Caenorhabditis elegans: one gene and its partners. The protein of the gene in region 2 interacts with the protein of the main gene of each other region in a pairwise test. Each region holds a gene or a part of one and is shown on either strand. Other genes may lie near its edges. The genes, in order: npp-4, npp-13 and npp-1.

The links.
Region 1: the proteins of npp-13 (region 2) and npp-4 interact in a two-hybrid assay, tested with the Caenorhabditis elegans proteins (one study listed by BioGRID).
Region 3: the proteins of npp-13 (region 2) and npp-1 interact in a two-hybrid assay, tested with the Caenorhabditis elegans proteins (one study listed by BioGRID).

The regions. Positions count from the first base shown.
Region 1 is NC_003279.8:14,700,529-14,708,220, reverse strand, and holds npp-4 (Nucleoporin p58/p45), read left to right. Parts: upstream 1-1,698; 5' UTR 1,699-1,700; coding exon 1,701-2,128; intron 2,129-2,171; coding exon 2,172-2,263; intron 2,264-3,084; coding exon 3,085-3,511; intron 3,512-4,763; coding exon 4,764-5,212; intron 5,213-6,690; coding exon 6,691-6,911; 3' UTR 6,912-7,099; downstream 7,100-7,692. Other genes in the region: Y54E5A.5 (Polysaccharide biosynthesis domain-containing protein), read left to right, coding at 354-713, 954-1,055.
Region 2 is NC_003279.8:2,095,328-2,100,362, forward strand, and holds the start of npp-13 (Nuclear pore protein), read left to right. Parts: upstream 1-2,018; 5' UTR 2,019-2,019; coding exon 2,020-2,118; intron 2,119-2,172; coding exon 2,173-2,412; intron 2,413-3,262; coding exon 3,263-3,379; intron 3,380-5,035.
Region 3 is NC_003282.8:9,856,644-9,862,616, reverse strand, and holds npp-1 (Nucleoporin Nup54 alpha-helical domain-containing protein), read right to left. Parts: upstream 4,130-5,973; 5' UTR 4,126-4,129; coding exon 4,028-4,125; intron 3,980-4,027; coding exon 3,876-3,979; intron 3,796-3,875; coding exon 3,691-3,795; exon of another isoform or gene 3,246-3,690; coding exon of another isoform or gene 3,020-3,245; coding exon 2,750-3,019; intron 2,512-2,749; coding exon 2,330-2,511; intron 2,274-2,329; coding exon 2,094-2,273; intron 2,044-2,093; coding exon 1,650-2,043; intron 1,556-1,649; coding exon 1,377-1,555; intron 1,327-1,376; coding exon 1,129-1,326; intron 1,082-1,128; coding exon 872-1,081; 3' UTR 506-871; downstream 1-505. Other genes in the region: K07F5.14 (NUC153 domain-containing protein), read right to left, coding at 1-54, 169-393; K07F5.12 (Transmembrane protein 144 homolog), read right to left, coding at 4,631-4,839, 4,883-5,133, 5,180-5,451.

The DNA of each region.
Region 1 (7,692 bases), about 13 Mb from region 2:
TGCATTTAAAATCGGTTTTATTCCATTAATTATCGAATCCCCACTGCGCGCGCGGGGATGGCAAAACGCCGTGCGGCAGTTGCAAATGGGCGGAGTTTGGAGAATTTAAAAAATATTCGAATTTATTTCGCAATTTTTAGAGATTTTCAGGCTTTTTTCAGAGTTTTCATGCGTAATTTTCACTTTAAAATGTTATTTAAGTGTGTAGGATTATAGAAATGTAATTTAATTCCGCAAATTTTGTTGAAAAACTTGGATTTTTGCAATTTTTGCAGATTTTTACATGATTTTCTTCTAATTCTCCTGTTTCAAGTCAATTTTCTCTCTAATTTTCCAAATTTTCAGGTAACAAAATGACTGACTACGGAGATGCTGATAAATACGTCAACGACGAATCGATCGAGATGGCTTGGGCGATCAAAGCCGGCGAACGGTCCGAAGTTCACATGAATCTGATAATGCGGTGTGACACTCGGGTTCTTCGGCTCAACAAGCATCAGGATGCGATTCTCGCCGCATTTCGAAGCTCATTCCCCGATTTGAATGTGGAGGAGGTGACGACGAGTTTGCTGAAAGACGGCGGAGCCAAGGAGACATGGCGCGAGTTTTGTGAGCAATTCAAGGATATCGTCGACGATTATTCAATGGGAACACTGATGAGAATTCATGCTTCGAAGGCTTACAGTCCGGAAAATACTGTGGTTGTTCCAAGAGTTAGTGGGACCCAAATTGGAAATTTTTGTGATTTTCAGCATGATTTGTAGCTAGAAATTGCAGTTTTTGCGTTTTTAGCCCAGTTTTTAGCTAGAAAACTCAGATTTTGTGATTTTCGGCATGATTTGTTGCTGGAAATTGCAGTTTTTAGCTTAAATTTTTGGGAAAACTTCAATTTCCAGCCAAAAACCCCTCATCCCTCATTTTCCCATACAAAATCGATCGATAATTAATTACAGATCATCTACCTGGCAATCGAGATGGCACGCAACGTGGAGGGTGTCAACGAGAAGAATAAGGAGGCATACACGGCTCACCGCAATTCGCTCGCCTCCTTGTAATAATTTCTCTCGTTTTTTTTTTTGAATTTTTGTTGATTTTTCCCCGTTTTCTCGTTTTCCACCCTGTCGTTTGTCTTGTAGTTTGCATATAAACCGATTTCTTCGTTTTTAAAAATGATTTATTTCCAATTTCTCGAGTTTTCCAGCTCTTTTTACTTATATTTTTGTTTATTTTTTTTCCAAAAATTGATTTTCAGATATTTTTCTCTAAGAAATGTCGATTTTGATGAATTTTTCTGTGCTAAAATTGACTTTTCAAAATTTTCTCATAGACACGTGGGATAAATGCCCTAAAACTCAATTTTAGCCTGAATAATTCGTGATTTTTGATAATTTTTCATCGGAAATCGAATGTTGGATGCTAAAAACGTTTCTTTGGCAATTTTCGAATCCCCACCGTTTTTTCTCCATTAAAATCTGGATAAGCATCTCAAAATTCATGAAAAATCACTTTTTCTGTTAAAAAGTGTTTTCTGTGATTTCTGAGCGAAATTGTCAAAAAAAAAAAGTGATTTTCGCTTCGAAAATTCGAATTCCCGAAGGAAAAACCATCAAAAACCTCTGTTTTTGAATAGAAAATGTCTAAAAATCAATAATTTCCCAATTTCTTTTCTTTCTTCTCCATAAAAATTTAATTTTCCAGAAATGTCGCTTTTCGGTACAAGTACCACGGCTCCAGCTGCTTCAACAACACCTCTTTTTGGCTCAACGGCTGCTGCTGCTCCAAAGCCTGGAGGCCTCTTCGGTGCGCCTGCTGCTGCCATGTCATCAGGGCTCTTTGGAGCATCTCAGACAGCTCCTGCACCAGCTTCTGCAGGACTTTTCGGCTCAACAACTGCTCCTACACCTGCTTCAACGTCTTCAGTTCCACTATTCGGTTCGACAACAACCACCGCATCACCATCTGGAGGACTTTTCGGAGCCAAGACAGCCACCACAGCAGCTCCCGCGCCGACTGGTGGGCTCTTTGGAGCATCAACGGCTGCTCCGGCGACTGGAAGTCTGTTCGGAAGTACTGCCCCGGCTACTGGAGGTCTTTTTGGCGCGAAATCGACCACATCGGCGGCTCCGACGTTGGTTTTAGAGCTTTCGATGCATCTAAAATTGAATTTTCAGGCTTGGAGGTGGACTTTTTGGATCGAGCACGGCTCCGGCGGCGGCGGCAACGACATCATTTGGAGCTCCACCAGCGACTGCAGCTGCTCCATGTTAGTATAGATGCTGGAGCTTCTTTTTTCTCTGTTTTCAGCACAAAAATTCCATTTTTTGCGAATTTTCAGCTCTAAAATGCTTTTTTAAATAGAAAATTGCCACTTTCAACTCCTTATTTGGAAATCCTATTTTTCGCCGAATTTCGACAAAATTTTAGTTATCAAAACTAGCGTTTTTAATCTGAAAATCGGACATTTTCAGCTCAAAAGTGTGTTTTTAATCGAATATAGTACGATTTTTATGTTCAACAACGCTAATTTTATAGAAAATTGGAAAATTTTCTAACAATACATCAAAAATCCTTATTTTCCTCCTATTTTTCAGCCAAAAATGCGTGAAAAATAAGCAATATCCATTTAAAAGCTTTATTTTGTCGATTTTTCTTCAAAAATTGGCGTTTTCCGGCAATTTGGCTATTTGCCGGTTTACCGATTTGCCGGAAAAAAATAAAATTCTAAAATTTCCAACATTAATGTGCAAAACCGCAATTTGCAGGAAGTTTTCGGCAATTGCCGCTTTTCCGGAAGATTCGGCAATTTGTCGGTTTGCCCATTTGCCAGAAATTTTCAATTTCGGCAATTTGTCGGTTTGCCGGAAATTTTCAATTCCGGCAAATTCGGCAATTTGCCGGAATTTTTCAATTTCGTCAAATTTGCCGGCTTGCCGATTTGCCGGAATTTTTCAATACCGGCAACTTGTCAATTTGTCGGTTTTCCCATTTTCCAGAAATTTTCAATTCCGGCAATTTGCCAATTTGCCGGAAAAAATCGTTTGCCGCCTTGAGATTGCGCAGCCTGAAAATCATTTTGTTTTTCAGTGGGTCTCGGCGGAATCCAGCAACAAAACAGCAGTGGTGGTGGGCTTCCAAATGCTTCAGGAACTGCCACGTCATCACTCACAGGCACCGGAGACTCAAAAGATGCCTCGAAAGACGGTGAATGGACACAAGCGGCCACTCTAATCAGAGATTTACTCCCATTGATCGAGGATAAATTCAAGAAAAATCGAGAATTTATGGAAGAAACCGAGAATATGTCAATTGACAACGTGGCAATCGAAGAACAAATCGATAAGACACGTGGATGGATTGAGGAAGTTCGACGGGATGTTCTGACGGCTACACAATCATCAGAAAGGATTGCATATCTTGTATCAACTGATAAAACACTTTGTGATACGACGAAACGAGTTCAAGAGCATTCTGGATCTGCAAATCAGACTACTTATATGAATGCTATCAAAGAGTTCGTTTTTGAGCTATTTTAACGCTTGAACGTCTTGAAATGACTTGAAAATCTAGAAAATTGGACAAAATTTAACAAATCCGTCTTTTTCATGAAAAAAAAACCCCAAAACCACCCCTGGCAGTTCAAAATATCGAAAAAGAGCTGAAATTAGCTGAAAAATCCGATTTTATAAGCTTGTAGTGACTGAAAATTGATTTTTCGCCAAGTTTTGCATATTTTCGTCGTAATTCACATTAAAAAAACGTTAATTCTTGATACTTTACTTTTTTAGACCCAAAATGACTCAAAACTGCCGAAGAATTTCGTTATGAAAATGTCTCAAAAAAGTTATGACCGCTCAAAGTTTTGGAAAAATGGTCAATTGTTAGCTAAAATCTCAAAATTTGGCAAATTTTCTGTGTTGCAGCGATTGGAACTTAATTTTTATTCGATTATCATACTTTAATGCATGTTTTAGCAAGTTGTTACGTGTTATTTCGTTGATTGAGATACTTTATCATATTTGTGCCGGCATCGACCGAAAAAGCATCTCAATCAACGAAATAACACGTAATAAATTGCGAAAACTTCCATTAAAGGATACAAATCGAATGAAAATTAAGTCACAACCGCTTCAACACTGAAAATTTGCCAAAATTTGAGATTTTAGCTAAAAATTGACCATTTTTTTCCAAAATTTTAAGCCGCCGCATTTTTTTTGAGAAATTTTTGAGAATTACGACTAAAATATGCAAAAGGGGGGATAAAAACTAATTTTCAGCCACTACAAGCTTGTAAAATTGGATTTTTCAGCTTTTTTTGGACCTTTTTGAGTATATTTTCTTGAGAAGGATGGATTTGTTAAATTTGGCTCATTTTTCTAGATTTTCGAGCGTCTCATAACAAAATTCGGTAGTTTTAGGCCATTTTTGATCTAAAATAAGACAGTATCGGATTTCGGCACTCCACCAGGGCTGGGACCAAAAACAAAAAACCAAAAAATTGATGATTAAGTTTATTTTTAATGTGGTTATTCTAGTAATGTTGAAAAATGTATCAAAATACATTTTTGACGTCACAACTGTTAAAATACATGTTTTTATGTATTTTAATACAGAATATTCTCGAAGCGAGAGACATTTTTTTTTTTGGATTTTTTGGTTTTGTGGCCCCAAAAAATGGATTTTTCGTCAAAATACCAGAAAAATCCAGAAAAGTTCCAGCCGCCCTGCACCACTCCACCTGTTTTTTAATTCCAACTATTTTGCAGACACCTCGCCGAGCTGTGCAATTTCTATGGAAATGATATGGACGCACTTCAAGAGAGAGTGAATTTCCTGAGAAATCGATTCGAGAAGCTTCTAACCGGTGAAAAATCGATAACAATGGAGGAGCTGGATGCATATTTTTTGAGATGTGATGCAAATGTTTCGAATGCACATCATCATGTCACTGAGCTCGGAAAAGAAATTGAAGAAATTCGAGATTTTCTAATTGAACAAGGATATACTCAATTGAGAAAATGGTCGACTACAGCTGCTTCAGCAGCAGCACCAATAGCTTCGAATTCTGAAATGATTGTTAGAGAAGGAGCCGAGTTCTTCCCATCACAATCTAGTCTGGCAATCATTGGAAGCTCGTTGAGAGCACCGGCTGCTCCGGCTCCAGCTGTTGGAGGGCTTGGATTGGGCACTGGAACCAGTCTTTTTGGAAATACTGGTGTGTAGAATTGAAGGAAAAAAAAAATTGTTTTTTTTTGGCTTTCTTGAAATCTATAAATTCAAGAAAAAGTTTCTTGAGCATTTTTTAAATGCAAAATTTGATGAAAAATTGGTTTTTTTAACATTTTTTGACGAGAAATCAAATTTGTAACTTGCAGTTGTTACAACCAAGGGTGTCGGTTTTTCGATTTTCCCTGAAAAAATCGAAAAAAATTTTCGATTTTTGAAATAAGCTTACAAAACAGCATCTCTACAACAAATCTTTTTTTTTTATCAATTTTCTTTGAAAATTACAAGAACCCAAAAAAATGCGTCAAAACTGCTTTAAAATCGTAGAAATTGCAAAAATTCCAAAGAAACTTTCTTTTTGTTACAAATTCGAGTTTTTTTCACTAAAATTTTTTCTAGTTTTCTCTAAAAAACCGATTTTTTTGAAATTTCATCGGATAAGCATAGATGTCAGTTTTTTTTTCAAAATTTTTGTTGTTGTAACCAAGGGTGTCATTTTTCGATTTTTTCGATTTTTCGATTTTTCGATTTTCACTGAAAAAATCGAAAAAATCGAAAAATCACACCCTTGGTTACAACAACAAAAATTTTGAAAAAAAAACTGACATCTATGCTTATCCGATGAAATTTCAAAAAAATCGGTTTTTTAGAGAAAACTAGAAAAAATTTTAGTGAAAAAAACTCGAATTTGTAACAAAAAGAAAGTTTCTTTGGAATTTTTGCAATTTCTACGATTTTAAAGCAGTTTTGACGCATTTTTTTGGTTCTTGTAATTTTCAAAGAAAATTGACCAAAAAAAAAAAAAAAAAGATTTTTTCCAGTCTTCCGGCAAAAAAGGTTTTTCTTGCATTTTTGACGGAACAATTTTTTAAAAAAATTATTTTTTTTTTGTGAAAATGGTTTAAATTTTCACGAAAAATCCAAAAAAATAAAGCCTATTTTGTAGTTTTCAGAAAAAAGTATTTGTTTTCTGCAATTTCTGCAAAAAATTTTTTATTTTTTTAAAGAGTTTTTCGGTATTTTCTGAAGCGGTAAAATAATTTACGAAAAATCCAAAATTGATTATTCGATGTTTTCTAAATGAATTATAGTGGATTTTTTGTCGAAATTGCAAAAAAAAATCTCAATTTTTCCGACAAAAAATTCAACTAATGAAATGAAAACTCTAAGCGTTCAAAGTTAAAAAATTTTGTTTTTTTTTTCGTTAAGTTTCTCGCCAAAATTCAACAATTTTTCATCGAAATTGTGAATTACCAAAAAAAAACAGTTTTTTGTCAAAATTACAACAATAGTAGAAATTTTTTTAATTTTTCCGCGAAATTGCAAGAAGGAACAAAAAATATAGATTTTTCTCAAAATAATGAGAAAAATCGATATTTCCGAACCAAAAAAGGATTATCGTCAAAATTGGCAATAAAGTCCAAAAAATCTATGATTTTTAAAATCTAAACCTTCAATTTCTCTCAGGAACAACTTCTCTTTTCGGATCAACGGCCACAAAACCAGCTTTCTCTGGAGGATCTCTATTCGGTGCAACAACTTCTACTGCAACATCCTCAGCTGCTGCCACCACCACAACTCCGACTACATCACTCTTCGGATCAACCAAACCAGCCACCACAACTACACCATTTGCATCGACTGTTGCTAATAATTCCAGTGGTCTTTTGTTCAGTTCAAAGAAATAATTATTTATTTTTTTATTTCATGATGACTGGTTTTATTATTTAATTTGTGAAATATTTATTTTTTCTGATCTTTCTTTCGATTCCTCACGCTTTTCCTGTTCTTACCCTATTCTTACATTAAGCTTATTCGATTTTAATTTTACATTGTCTCTACACAGCAAATTTTCCCATGAAATCTGATTTTTTGTAAAATTTTTGAATTTTTCATCAAAAATTAAGGTACTATAAGGGTATTGAAGGATTACTGTACGGGTACTGTAGGGATACTGTAGAATTATTGTAGTTTGGGAAATTTGAATTTTTAGCTTTAGTAGAGGTATTTTGTTGGGAGTTGGTGGGGATGATGTTAAGGTACTGTAAGGGTACTGTGGGCTTACTTTAGTTGTTTTGTATGATTACTGCAGGCTAAAAATTGACCTTTTTCAGAATATAGTAGTTTTGAACATTTTCAGGAAAATTATTTTTTTGCCCAAAATAAAAAAAAAGGACAGTCATTAGAAAATTTGGGCAAAAATAAAAAGTTGTCTAAATTTGTTGAAAACGGGTAATTCATACATGCAAAATTCAGAAAATCTAGGTTTAGTCCGTCAAAAACTATTAAAAAGTGGCAAAAATGGCCAATTTATGGCAAAAATTCACAATTTTGAAACTTCACTAAAACGGGCAATTTTGTAGTTAGAGGACTCAAAATTGATTTAGGATCACTAAAAAATTGCCCTTTTTCAGAATATAGTAGTTTTAAACATTTTCAAGACAATTATTTTTTTGCCCAAAATAAAAA
Region 2 (5,035 bases):
ACCATATAGATGGTTATCTGAAGGAAAAGGGGTATATTGAGATTGATGTGGGTGTGGTGGTAATTGGATATTAATTGGCACTTTGGTGAGGATTTTGTGAATTTTCAAACTTTGCGCGTCGAATTTGGTGTATTCACATTACACACTGATTTCTGGCTTCCCTTGAAATGGAAGAGTTTTTGCCGAACTAGGCCGTTTTGGCTCGGCCATATCTGGGGTAGATTTACGGCGCGTTGCGTGTCGCGTCGCGGCTCGATTTTAGTTGTAAAACTAAATGTATTTGTCCGTGTGGAGTACACGACTTTCCCAGTCCGGCAGGCGATTGTCAATGGAGCGCGAAAAATTCAATGAGGAAGGCAATAACCCCGTAGTACTCTAATTAAGTGTCCCGTTTTTACGAAATTTTTATAAAAATTGGTTTTTTTTGTTTTTAGAGAAAATTATGAATATATTTTCTTGTTTTTCTAATCAACAAAAGCGAAATTTAATGTAAAATTACACGGGGTTCTGGCCTTCCTCGTTGAATTTTTCGCGCTCCATTGACAATCGCCCGCCGGACTGGGAAAGTCGTGTACTCCACGCGGACAAATACATTTAGTTTTACAACTAAAACCGAGCCGCGACGCGCCGTAAATCTACTCCAGATATGGCCGAACCAAAATGGCCTAGTTCGGCAAAAACTCTTCCATTTCAAATTATGAGTCCCCATCATGCCTAAGAACCCTCTATTTAGGTTACTGACACATCTGAAACCGGTGCTACAGTACCCTGCGTGGTGGGACCCGAAAATTTGAAATTTGGCAGAAAATGGGCAAGATGGGAGTCATTTTGAAGCTGAGAATGAGGAGAATGTGAATTTTAGAGTAATTTAGAGAAAAAAGTGAAATTGGGGAAAAAAAAACAATTTTTTTGGAAATTTTTTCATTTCAAAAATGTTCTTTAAATTGTCGTTAAATTCGAATTTCTCGATTTTCAGCTGTAAAATGACCCCCATCATGCCTGGGAATGCTTCAATTTCACACATTTCCCCATTGACACAGCTGAAACCGGTGCCACAGTACCCCGCGTGGTGGAAAAAAAACCCGAAACTTTCAAAAGAAATCCCTGATTTGTTTTACACTGAAAAATTGTTGAATTATCACGGGAACACAAAATTCAGAGAATGCGTATTGCGCAACAAATTTGACGCGCAAAATTATTAATATCTCGTAGCGAAAACTACAGTAATTTAAAGAATTTAAAGAATTACTGTAGTTTTCGCTGCGAGATATTTTGCGCGCCAAATATGTTGCGCAATACGGGCTCTCTGAATTCTGTGTTCCAGTAATTTTTACTTATAATTATTTTCCATAGACCAGTAAAACATTTACTGATTAAAAAAGCTCTCGACACAACTGTCACTAAATAATTCATTTTTTTAAAAGAAATTTAATGTTTTTTAGTGTTCAAATCATCCAATTTGTGATTTATTATCTGCTCCATGAGTTCCTGAGACCGATCTACCATCTGGCGGTGTACTTCTAACCGGAAAAGTCGATAATGTGGATGCTACGACACGCTCCCGAATTTATGTCTTTTTTTTCGTTTTTCTTTAAAAATAATACTCAATTTTCTTGAAACATTTTCATCGAAAATGTTTTTTTTTTCAATTTTTTTGTAAGTTTTTCATTTTCCCACTCAATTTGTACTGAATTCGATTCAATTCCAGCGGAAATTAATTTAAATTCAGCTCTTGGCAATGTGCCAAGAAGCTGGTGGCCTAGAACTCGAAATACTGGCCTAGGATTCATGCGGGATTTCGGAGTGTCGTTGCACCGATTTTTTCAAAATTAATTTTCGTTTTGCCGCGAAAAACGAGAATTATTTGGTTTTTAAAACGTTTTTTAACGATATTTTTCGATTATTTTCATATTTTTCAGGGTTTAAACTGGAAAATGTGGTTAATGTAAACTGGTTAATGTTGTAAATCCTTGAAAAAACCTAAACCAGTAATTTTCTCAATTTTTAATTCAATTCAGGATGCTACAGTTTACGGAGATCCTCGGAAGAGTTGATCATCAAGGATTCGCACAATTGCTTGCTAATCCGATTTTCCAAACCAACCGTGTCGGCCAAGAGGTTTGTAAATAATGTTTAAAATGTTAAAAACACCGAAAAATTCCCTTTTTCCAGAACTCGCAGCAATTCACAGTCCGAAATGGCGTCGAGCAGGAGCTTTGCGGTATTTTAGGCGGTTCAGAAGGCGACTGGACACGTCAGACGCACTCAGTTCAGAAGCAGATGATGTTTGGGGAGCGTGGCATCGAACTTCCGAGCCGCCAGCCGAAAAGTCACACCGCCGAGGATACTCTCACTGATGAAGGTGTCGTGGACGTGCCTGAAGCTGTAATGGATGATATTGACGAGGAAGAAGTACTTAATCACGGCCTCCTTGAGTGTTCATAATTATTGGAGCGAGCTCGCGTGGCACCTCACGAACTCCAGAATTTGCGGGAGTTCGTTCCGCGGGAACAGCAGTTTTTTGTTATTTTTGGCTTCTATAGGAAATATTTTTGATTTTTTGTTTTATAATATTCTTGAGAAACATCATCCGAATTGAAAATGTGTAAAATTATGAAATTGGCCGAAAACTGGAAGTTTTACAGAAGAAAGCCACTATAGTTTTTGAAAAAATGTATCAGGATCGCCAGTTTTGCGATTTATGCGTCGTAAAATATGTCATTTTGTAGAGAATTAAAAGTTTCATAAAAATTTTCGTTTGAAATTTTAATTCGTTAATTTCTAATAAAAAAATATTCAAAAAATCAACAATTTTACGTTAAAATCTTATTTCTTCAATTTTTAAGTTTTCAATAAAAACAATTTTAAATTTTCAAACAAAAATTCTTATGAAACTTTTAATTCTCTACAAAATGACATATTTTACGACACATAAATCGCAAAACTGGTCCTGATACATTTTTTTAAAAACTGTAGTGGCTTCCTTCTGTAAAACTTTCAGTTTTCGGCCAAATTTTATAATTTTACACATTTTCAATTCGGATGATGCTTCTCAAGAATATTATAAAACAAAAAATCAAAGATATTTCCTATAGAAGTCAAAAATAAAAAAAACTGCTGTTCCCGCGGAACGTGTTCCCGCGAATTCTGGAGTTCGTGAGGTGCCGCGCGAGCGCGCTCTAATAATTATGAACACTCCAGGTGGCCGTGATTAATTAATAATTTATCATGAAAACAACGTTTTAATCTTTAAATTTTCCAGCTCGACGAGGACATTTCTCGTGTTAAAGTGGAGACGGATCGAGCATTCTTCAACCACATGCTTCTTTCGAGACCTGCCGCAGTTCCCATGAATCCAGCACAGGCTATGGAACGAGATGTTCGTTAAAATCCCTTGCGCGGCACACCTCACGAACTCCAGAATTCGAGGGAATTCGTTTCGCGCGCACTTCTATAGATATTATTTTCTATTTTTTTGATTTATAATGTTGTTGAGAAGCATTTTTCCGAATTGAAAATGTTTAAAATTATGAAATTTGACCAAAAACTGACGGTTTTACAGAAGGCTTTCTTTAAAATGTATCAGAACCGTCAGTTTTTTGATTTCAAAGTCGTAAAATATTTAATTTTGTAGATAAAAGTCTGTTTCACAAAAATCCACGTTTGAAAATTTAAAATTGAAAATTGTTTTTATTAAAAACTGAAAAGTCTAGAAAAAATAAGATTTTAACGTAAAATTGTTGTTTTTTTGAGTATTTTTATATTAAATTAAAGGTGGAGCACCAAAAATTTAGACTTTGCTTTTTTGGACCCAAAATGTTCCAAAACTACCAAATTTCGTAATGAGACGTTCTGAAAATTTCTCAACAAAAAAAAGTTACGACCGCTCAAAGTTTTGGAAGAAATGGTCTATTTTCAGCTAAAATCTCAAATTTGTCAGCTTTTCAGTGCTGCATCGGTTGGTACTCAATTTTTATTTGACTAGCACTCTTTAATACATATTATGGTAGTTTATTACGCGTTTTTTCGTTGATTTGAGCCCATTTTGGGTTGATGGGTGCACAAAATTGTATTATATTTGTGCACCCATCGACCGAAAATGGGCTTAAATCAACGAATAAACGCGTAATAAACTACCATAATATGTATTAAAGAGTGCTAATCAAATAAAATTAAGTTCCAACCGCTGCAACACTGAAAAGCTGCTAATATTTGAGATTTTAGCTAAAAATCTACCATTTTTTCCAAAACTTTGAACGGACATAACTTTTTTGTTGAGAAATTTTCAGAACGCCTCACCACGAAATTCGGTAGTTTTGGAACATTTTAGGTCTAAAAAAGCAAAGTCTCAAATTTCGGTACTCCACCTTTAATTTCTAATATAAAAATATTCAAAAAATCAACAATTTTACTTTAAAATCGTTTTTTTTTATAAAAGATTTTCAGTTTTTAATAAAAACAATTTTAAATTTTCAAACGTCGATTTTTGTAAAATACTCTTTTCTCTCTACAAAATGACATATTTTACGACTACGAAATCGAAAAACTGACGGTTCTGATAGATTTTGAAGTAAAACCTTCAGTTTTCGGTCAAATTTCATAATTTTACACATTTTCAATTCGTATGATGCTTCTCAACAATATTATAAATCAAAAAATTCAAAAAAGAATTTCTATAGAAGCCGGAAATAGCCAAAAACTGCTGTCCCCGCGCGAATCGAATTCCCGCGAATTCTGGAGTTCGTGAGGTGTCGTGCTCGAATAATTATGAACACTCCGGGAGACCATGGAAAACAGGGGGTTCTGGCCTTCCTCATAGAATTTTTCGCGCTCCATTGACAATCGCCTTGGGAAAGTCGTGTACTCCACACGGACAAATACATTTAGTTTTACAACAAAAATCGAGCCGCGACGCGACACGCAACGCACCGTAAATCTACCCCCAGATATGACCTGGCCTAGTTCGGCAAAAACTCTTCCATTTCAATTTATGAGCGGAACCAGAGTTCCGTGCTCGTTTATAATGATTTTTATG
Region 3 (5,973 bases), on a different chromosome or scaffold from region 2:
GTTTTCATCTTCAGAATCGAAGAGTTTTGGACGTTTTGAACTGCGCGAGGTTTTCTGAATTATTCCAACTTAGTTTACGAGTATTGTCTTTACAGCAAACAACTTTATGAAATCGGGCAATTGCTGTTATAAGAGATTTTTATCTCAAAAAATTGAAAAACTTCCAACCTTTTCACCATTCGCGGCTGTTTTTTCTGTTTCTTCATCCTGATCATCCCCATCATCCGAATCTTCAAATACAATGCGTTTTGTCGTTTTTTTGTCAACATTAGCAATGTCAGCAGCAATTTGACGATCTCTTTCTCTCTGATCTTGAATTTTTTGCCTCATCGCGGCTCGACGAGCTTCATCTGAACGTTGACGTCTCTTTTCATCATTGTCTTCATCGTCCATTTTCTGAGATACATTTTGCAATAGTTTTTATGTGATTCTAATTATTTGAAAATCGCAGAAATTCGAACGGGAGACAACCGTTATTTGACAAAACTCAAACAGAAAAATGGAGATCAAATTTATTCTAGATAGAAGTTTGAGATGAATTAATTCAATCTATTAAACAGTGTGTGAAATAAGACAATTAACAATTTGAGGAGGTCAGATCAACAGTTACAACCAAGAATGAGGCATATTTTATGAAAAAATGTACTCGTGATGACAGGCGAACATAGAAAAAAGCGAGCTTTTTTGCTCAATATGTATAAGTTTTAAAAACAATTTTCTGCCACACATCTTAGGTCGAAACAGAAATAACCAGAAACCTGTCAGAGTTTGAAAGAAAATAATGATGATACAAAAGAAATGAGCGAATTTTTAAATTAATACGAGAAAATCTGAAAAAAAGATTTTCAGAAAATCTTTTCTAAAAAATAAATTATCCTTCTAGAGCCCTTCTACAAGCTTCAAGACTTTCGATTTGTTGATGTGTTGACTCGTAAAGGCCAGAGCAAATATTAACAAATTTGGTAAGCACTCTACGAGCATAGTGTTCATCTTCAATTGTCATATCAAACATTTTCCACATTGATTCTTGAAGTTTATCCGGTTTTGATTCCAAAATCTCGTAGAATTTGTCGACATAAAACTGAAATTAATTGTTTTATACAAAATTAAATCATAATTTTTTCTCACCTTCACTTGATTATGACGATTCATTTGGGCAAGAAGTGTATCAGCTTTAGCTTCAATTACATCCTCATCAGTGTCAATTTGACGTGAATATCTTGATACAATCCATTGTGCAAGCATAACACGAACAATTCTGTACGAGAGAGTTTTATGGCGATTACGAATAATCTCCATCTTAACAACTGCATCTGCATGTTCATGCTGAAATATGTATGACATTTGTAAACTTTCATCAAGTTATAACAACTTACATTAGCTTCTTCAACACGATTTCCCAATGCATTAATTGCCTCGTGGAATAGTTTCGACTCGCCAACTTGAGCCTTCTGTCTGTCTCTTAATGCTTCCCATCCACGTACTGGAACAGGAAGAAGTTTGTTTGGAGCTGGGTTTTCTTTGATTGCTTGTCTCCAAATACGCTCATCGATTCCTGAAATGAATGAAATTTGATACAATGCGAGGGAGGAAAACGAAAATCTTTGTTAATAAATGATAAACATAGTAAAAATAACGAGTAAACTAACCATCAGGAACTGTCTCCAAATATCTATCTCTTTGTGCTTTCGACATTCCAACTTTAGGAAGAACCCTTGTTTTATCCACTTGCAACTGCGATTCTAATTGGGTCATTTTTGGAGCATCATTGAGGATTTGAGCAAGTTTAATAGCTCCTGCAACAAATCCGCCTTCTTTGGCGATAATACAGATTTCTGTGCATCCATCAGAAAGTGTTCTCATCGAAGTACCAGGAGCATATCGAACTTCTACATTTGGTCCGCCACCAAGAATAGCTTTGATAATTTCAAGAATTTTGTCACGGCGTTCTTCTGTGTTCAAGTTTGTAATAGGATGACGCAGCACCAAAGTTACAAATCCCTCATCGTCGGTTCGCTCCGAAATACGATTGTATCCGATTCCCTGAAACGTGACACTGTGCAAGTTTTCAGTGATTTATAAAATAAACTTACAACAAATCGTTCAAACAAGTTTCCTTCCATTGAAAACGATAGAAGCTGATTTCCATCTTTGTATGGAGCTTTTCCGACACCCAAACCGGCAGCAACTTGATTCAACTTAGCAACAACTCCATCATTATCATTTCCAAAGAGCTTTGGATCTCCGACAGCTTTCACAAATGGGTGATACTGCTGAAAAAATTTTATTTGGAAAAGCGCTCAGATATTCTTAAGATTCATTTAATTACCTGAATAACTTGTTGCTGCTGAACAACAGGCTGTTGTTGTTGTTGAGTTGCTCCAAGACCACCAAGAGTAGACCCTGAGCTGGAACCAAAAAATCCGCCTGTAGCTGGCTTTGCAGTACTCGATCCAAAAAGCGTTGATCCCGCGGCTGTTCCAGTCGACGCTGCTCCGAATGGGGTCGATCCTGAAAATTGAGCCATCAAAATTATCAAAGTTCGTTAATTAGACAATTATATTCCAGATTCACGATAAAATACTTGAAGCAATGTTTTAAAGCTAATTAGACATATCTAAATTAATTATTTTTAAGATTTAATATTAGGTTTAGTTTTTTTTTTTTTTATTCGGTTTTTGATCTGACCCACCAAGTCTACTCAATTCTAGAAATATGAAAAGCTAATACAAAGTTGATGAATACCAACCTCCAAATGTTGAGTAGGGAGGACGATAAGCTGCTGGAGCCACATTCAAGTTGTTTGCCGGTGATAGAAAAGATGACTGTGGGGCATTAGTTCCTGGTAACGCAGATGGTGTGGCAAAAGATGTTGGAGTATTACCAGAAAGACTACCAGCCCCCAAAGTTCCTGATTTGAATGCTGCCAATCTTGTGGCAACGGGTGATTTGGCAGTTTGTTGTGTGGATCCAATACCGCCGAGACCTCCAGATGTCGTTGATGATGTTCCGAAGAGTCCTGAAGTTCCAGAAGTGGTTCCAGATGCCGGAGAATTTGTGAAAAGCGTGCGGTTAGCGTCATTGGGTGCTCCAAACAAATTGCGACGGGCTGGTGAACTAACATTCTGGGTTGCTGGGGCTGGAGCTTGAGATGCTGATGTCGTAGGTAAATCGGGAAGATTTGGAAGATTCTTCGGCATGTCTTCTGCTTTGATTCCGGTGATGCCCCCACGTCGGGCAAACATTTCTGCAGACGCTCGAGACGAAGAAAACGAGTAGCAAAGAGCAACACGGGTGATAGAAGAACAGGCAAAGAAATCCGCACGACACCGACCACGACAGAGAAAAGTGAAGGTAACGAACACAATGACGACGAGAGAAGTAGAGCGATAGGAGAGAAATAACAATTTTGAATAAAAATTAAGCGCAAATCACAGAAGTAGAACCTTGGTAGGTCAAATAATTTGTCAGATCAAAAAATATATTGAGTCTATTTTCTTTTTTCATTCATTTGTTGCTGGAATTTAGAATATAATTTTTTGGTCCAAAATGTATTACTTCGATCAATATGATTTATCGATTTCCCCTCCTTATCATTGTCTAGCTTTTCTCTCAACGAGACCACACAACAGCTAATAGTATAAACTAAGTAGAAGTGACCGAAAATATCGATAATTTTGAGTAGCTTACCGGTTGTAGAAGCACCGAAAAGACTTGGAGTAGCTGTTGAAGTGGTTGGAGCAGCACCAAACAAAGTTCCAGCAGTTGAAGTGGTAGTAGTTGAAGTGCCTGTCTCTGAAATTTAATATATTTCGGTTTAAAATGCAACTTTGATTACGAAGTAAGTTGTGTAAAAGTAAAAATATCAAACTTACTTCCAAACAATCCTCCAGAAGGAGTAGAGGTATTTGTTGTTCCAAAAAGCGAAGGCGTTGATGAAGCCTGAGCAGTTGAACCGAACAGAGGCTTTGATGGCGTTCTGAAAATAATATTTTTGTATAAAAATAATACTTCTTAAAATACTAACGTGCTTCCAAACAAAGTTCCAGACGATGTTGTTGGAGCATTCGGCGTTGGAAACGTAAATGCCTGTTTTTGGGGAGTAGATGACCCGAAAAGTGACATTTCGCTGAAAACAAACGATTTTTAAGAGAAATGGGGCTTGTGAGAAGAAAAAGAACACATATGTAGTTAATGCGAGAATTCTAGAATGAAAATAATAATATAAATAAGACAATGAGCCGAATTAAATCGATTTTTGGGGACGCTTTGGCGTGCAAATTTTTTCGAATTTTGTCTGTGTACGAAGGGGCGCGTTTGCTGGCACCCTCCTCGAAGATGAAAGAATACATATTCCGAAGAACATTCAACCGTGAAAAGAAATGCATGTTTCAGGTATTCAGTTACTTCGTATTTTGCGAAAATTTGATAACTCATTTTAATCAAGAATTCTTAAATTGAATTTCGATATAAAAGATATCAATAGTAACTTCTTTAGATTTCCAGTTGTTTTGTTGAAAAATTTTTTTTTTAAACCAAACGATCGTTTAAACGATACGAATAATACTTTATTTCAAATATAATACAACATTTTGAGATGAGATCAATAAATCGTTCGGTTCTGTTCTAATTAAATCTGATTAGACAAAGCAATCATAATCACCGAAATGACACCAATAACAGAAGAAATTGCCAACGTAGCATATGATCGGGTTCCTTGAATACTCTTGAATACAAATACATCAAGAGCTCCACTAATTAACGGTGGAAGACGGGCGGTACATGGATAGGCAACAACTTGAGATAATTTATCACTGGAGACAAACCAAAGTGTCATTCCTGAAGAACTAAACATTTGAACAATCGACCACGCATCTCTTACCTGTAGTCCATAAAATACCGTACCCAATCGATGGAATTATCAAATTCCTTTCCACGTAGGCTTTTCGACGCAAAATTACACAATACGCGAAGAAATACAGTGTAGAGAAGAGGAATACTGATGTGTAGAATGGGAAAATATAGTCAAACACTTGGAAACTATCAGTTGGTGGATTCTGTTGCTTCAAATATTCAATCGGTGACATCATCAAACCATGTAGACACGCAAGAACCATTGCCATAAGGATATAACTGAAAATTCGTTTTTTTTTTAAATTTCTAAGCATGCCCAACGAACGGTAATTTCTTTGCCAAACCAGCCATATCAAATGAAGAATCTCTTTCTGAATTGCTGAGTCTTTGCTCAATCTCTTCTTGATGTTCCATTTCCTTGCTGGTCACATCATATTCATTTTCTGGCTCCGTTTCCACGTGTTTCACGAATATCAAAAGAACTCCACTCACGATTGTCAATGCAATTCCAATATAGTTCAACACATCATTTTTCACATTCTGCGGGGCAATCCATTGGAACAGCCCGAATCTTGCCACTCCCCATCCGACAATAATCTTAAAGAAGAGTTTCAGAGTAGTTTCAGAGTAGTAGTAGTAGTTTCAGTATGTTTCAGAGTAAGCTTTCCGCGTAGACACAAAACGCCTGCCTGCATTTTGAGGCAATCTGCGTCTTCCCGCCAAAATTCCGAAAATAACGAGGTAGACGGTATGGGCGCAATTGCTGGAAATTTTGAAAACCAAAAAAATTGTATCACATTTCCAAAACCTCTGATAGTATTCAATTGAAATTCATGCCACAAATAAGTATTCAAGAAATAATTTTAGATTAAAATTATTTTGAAAAACCTTTTTTTTGAGACCCGAAGAACTCGTGGGATGTCCAACTGGGGGGATTACCAACTCGGGGGATTGGCCCCGCCCACAGAACCGTGGCTTGCAATACGCCCATTTCTGCAACTGCCGCACGGTTTTAAAACTGTATTTTTCTCAATAGAGCGAGAATTAACAAGAAAAAATAATTTTAGTTGCAAAAATTCAGTTGCAAAAATGGGCGTATTGCAAGCCACGGTTCTGTGG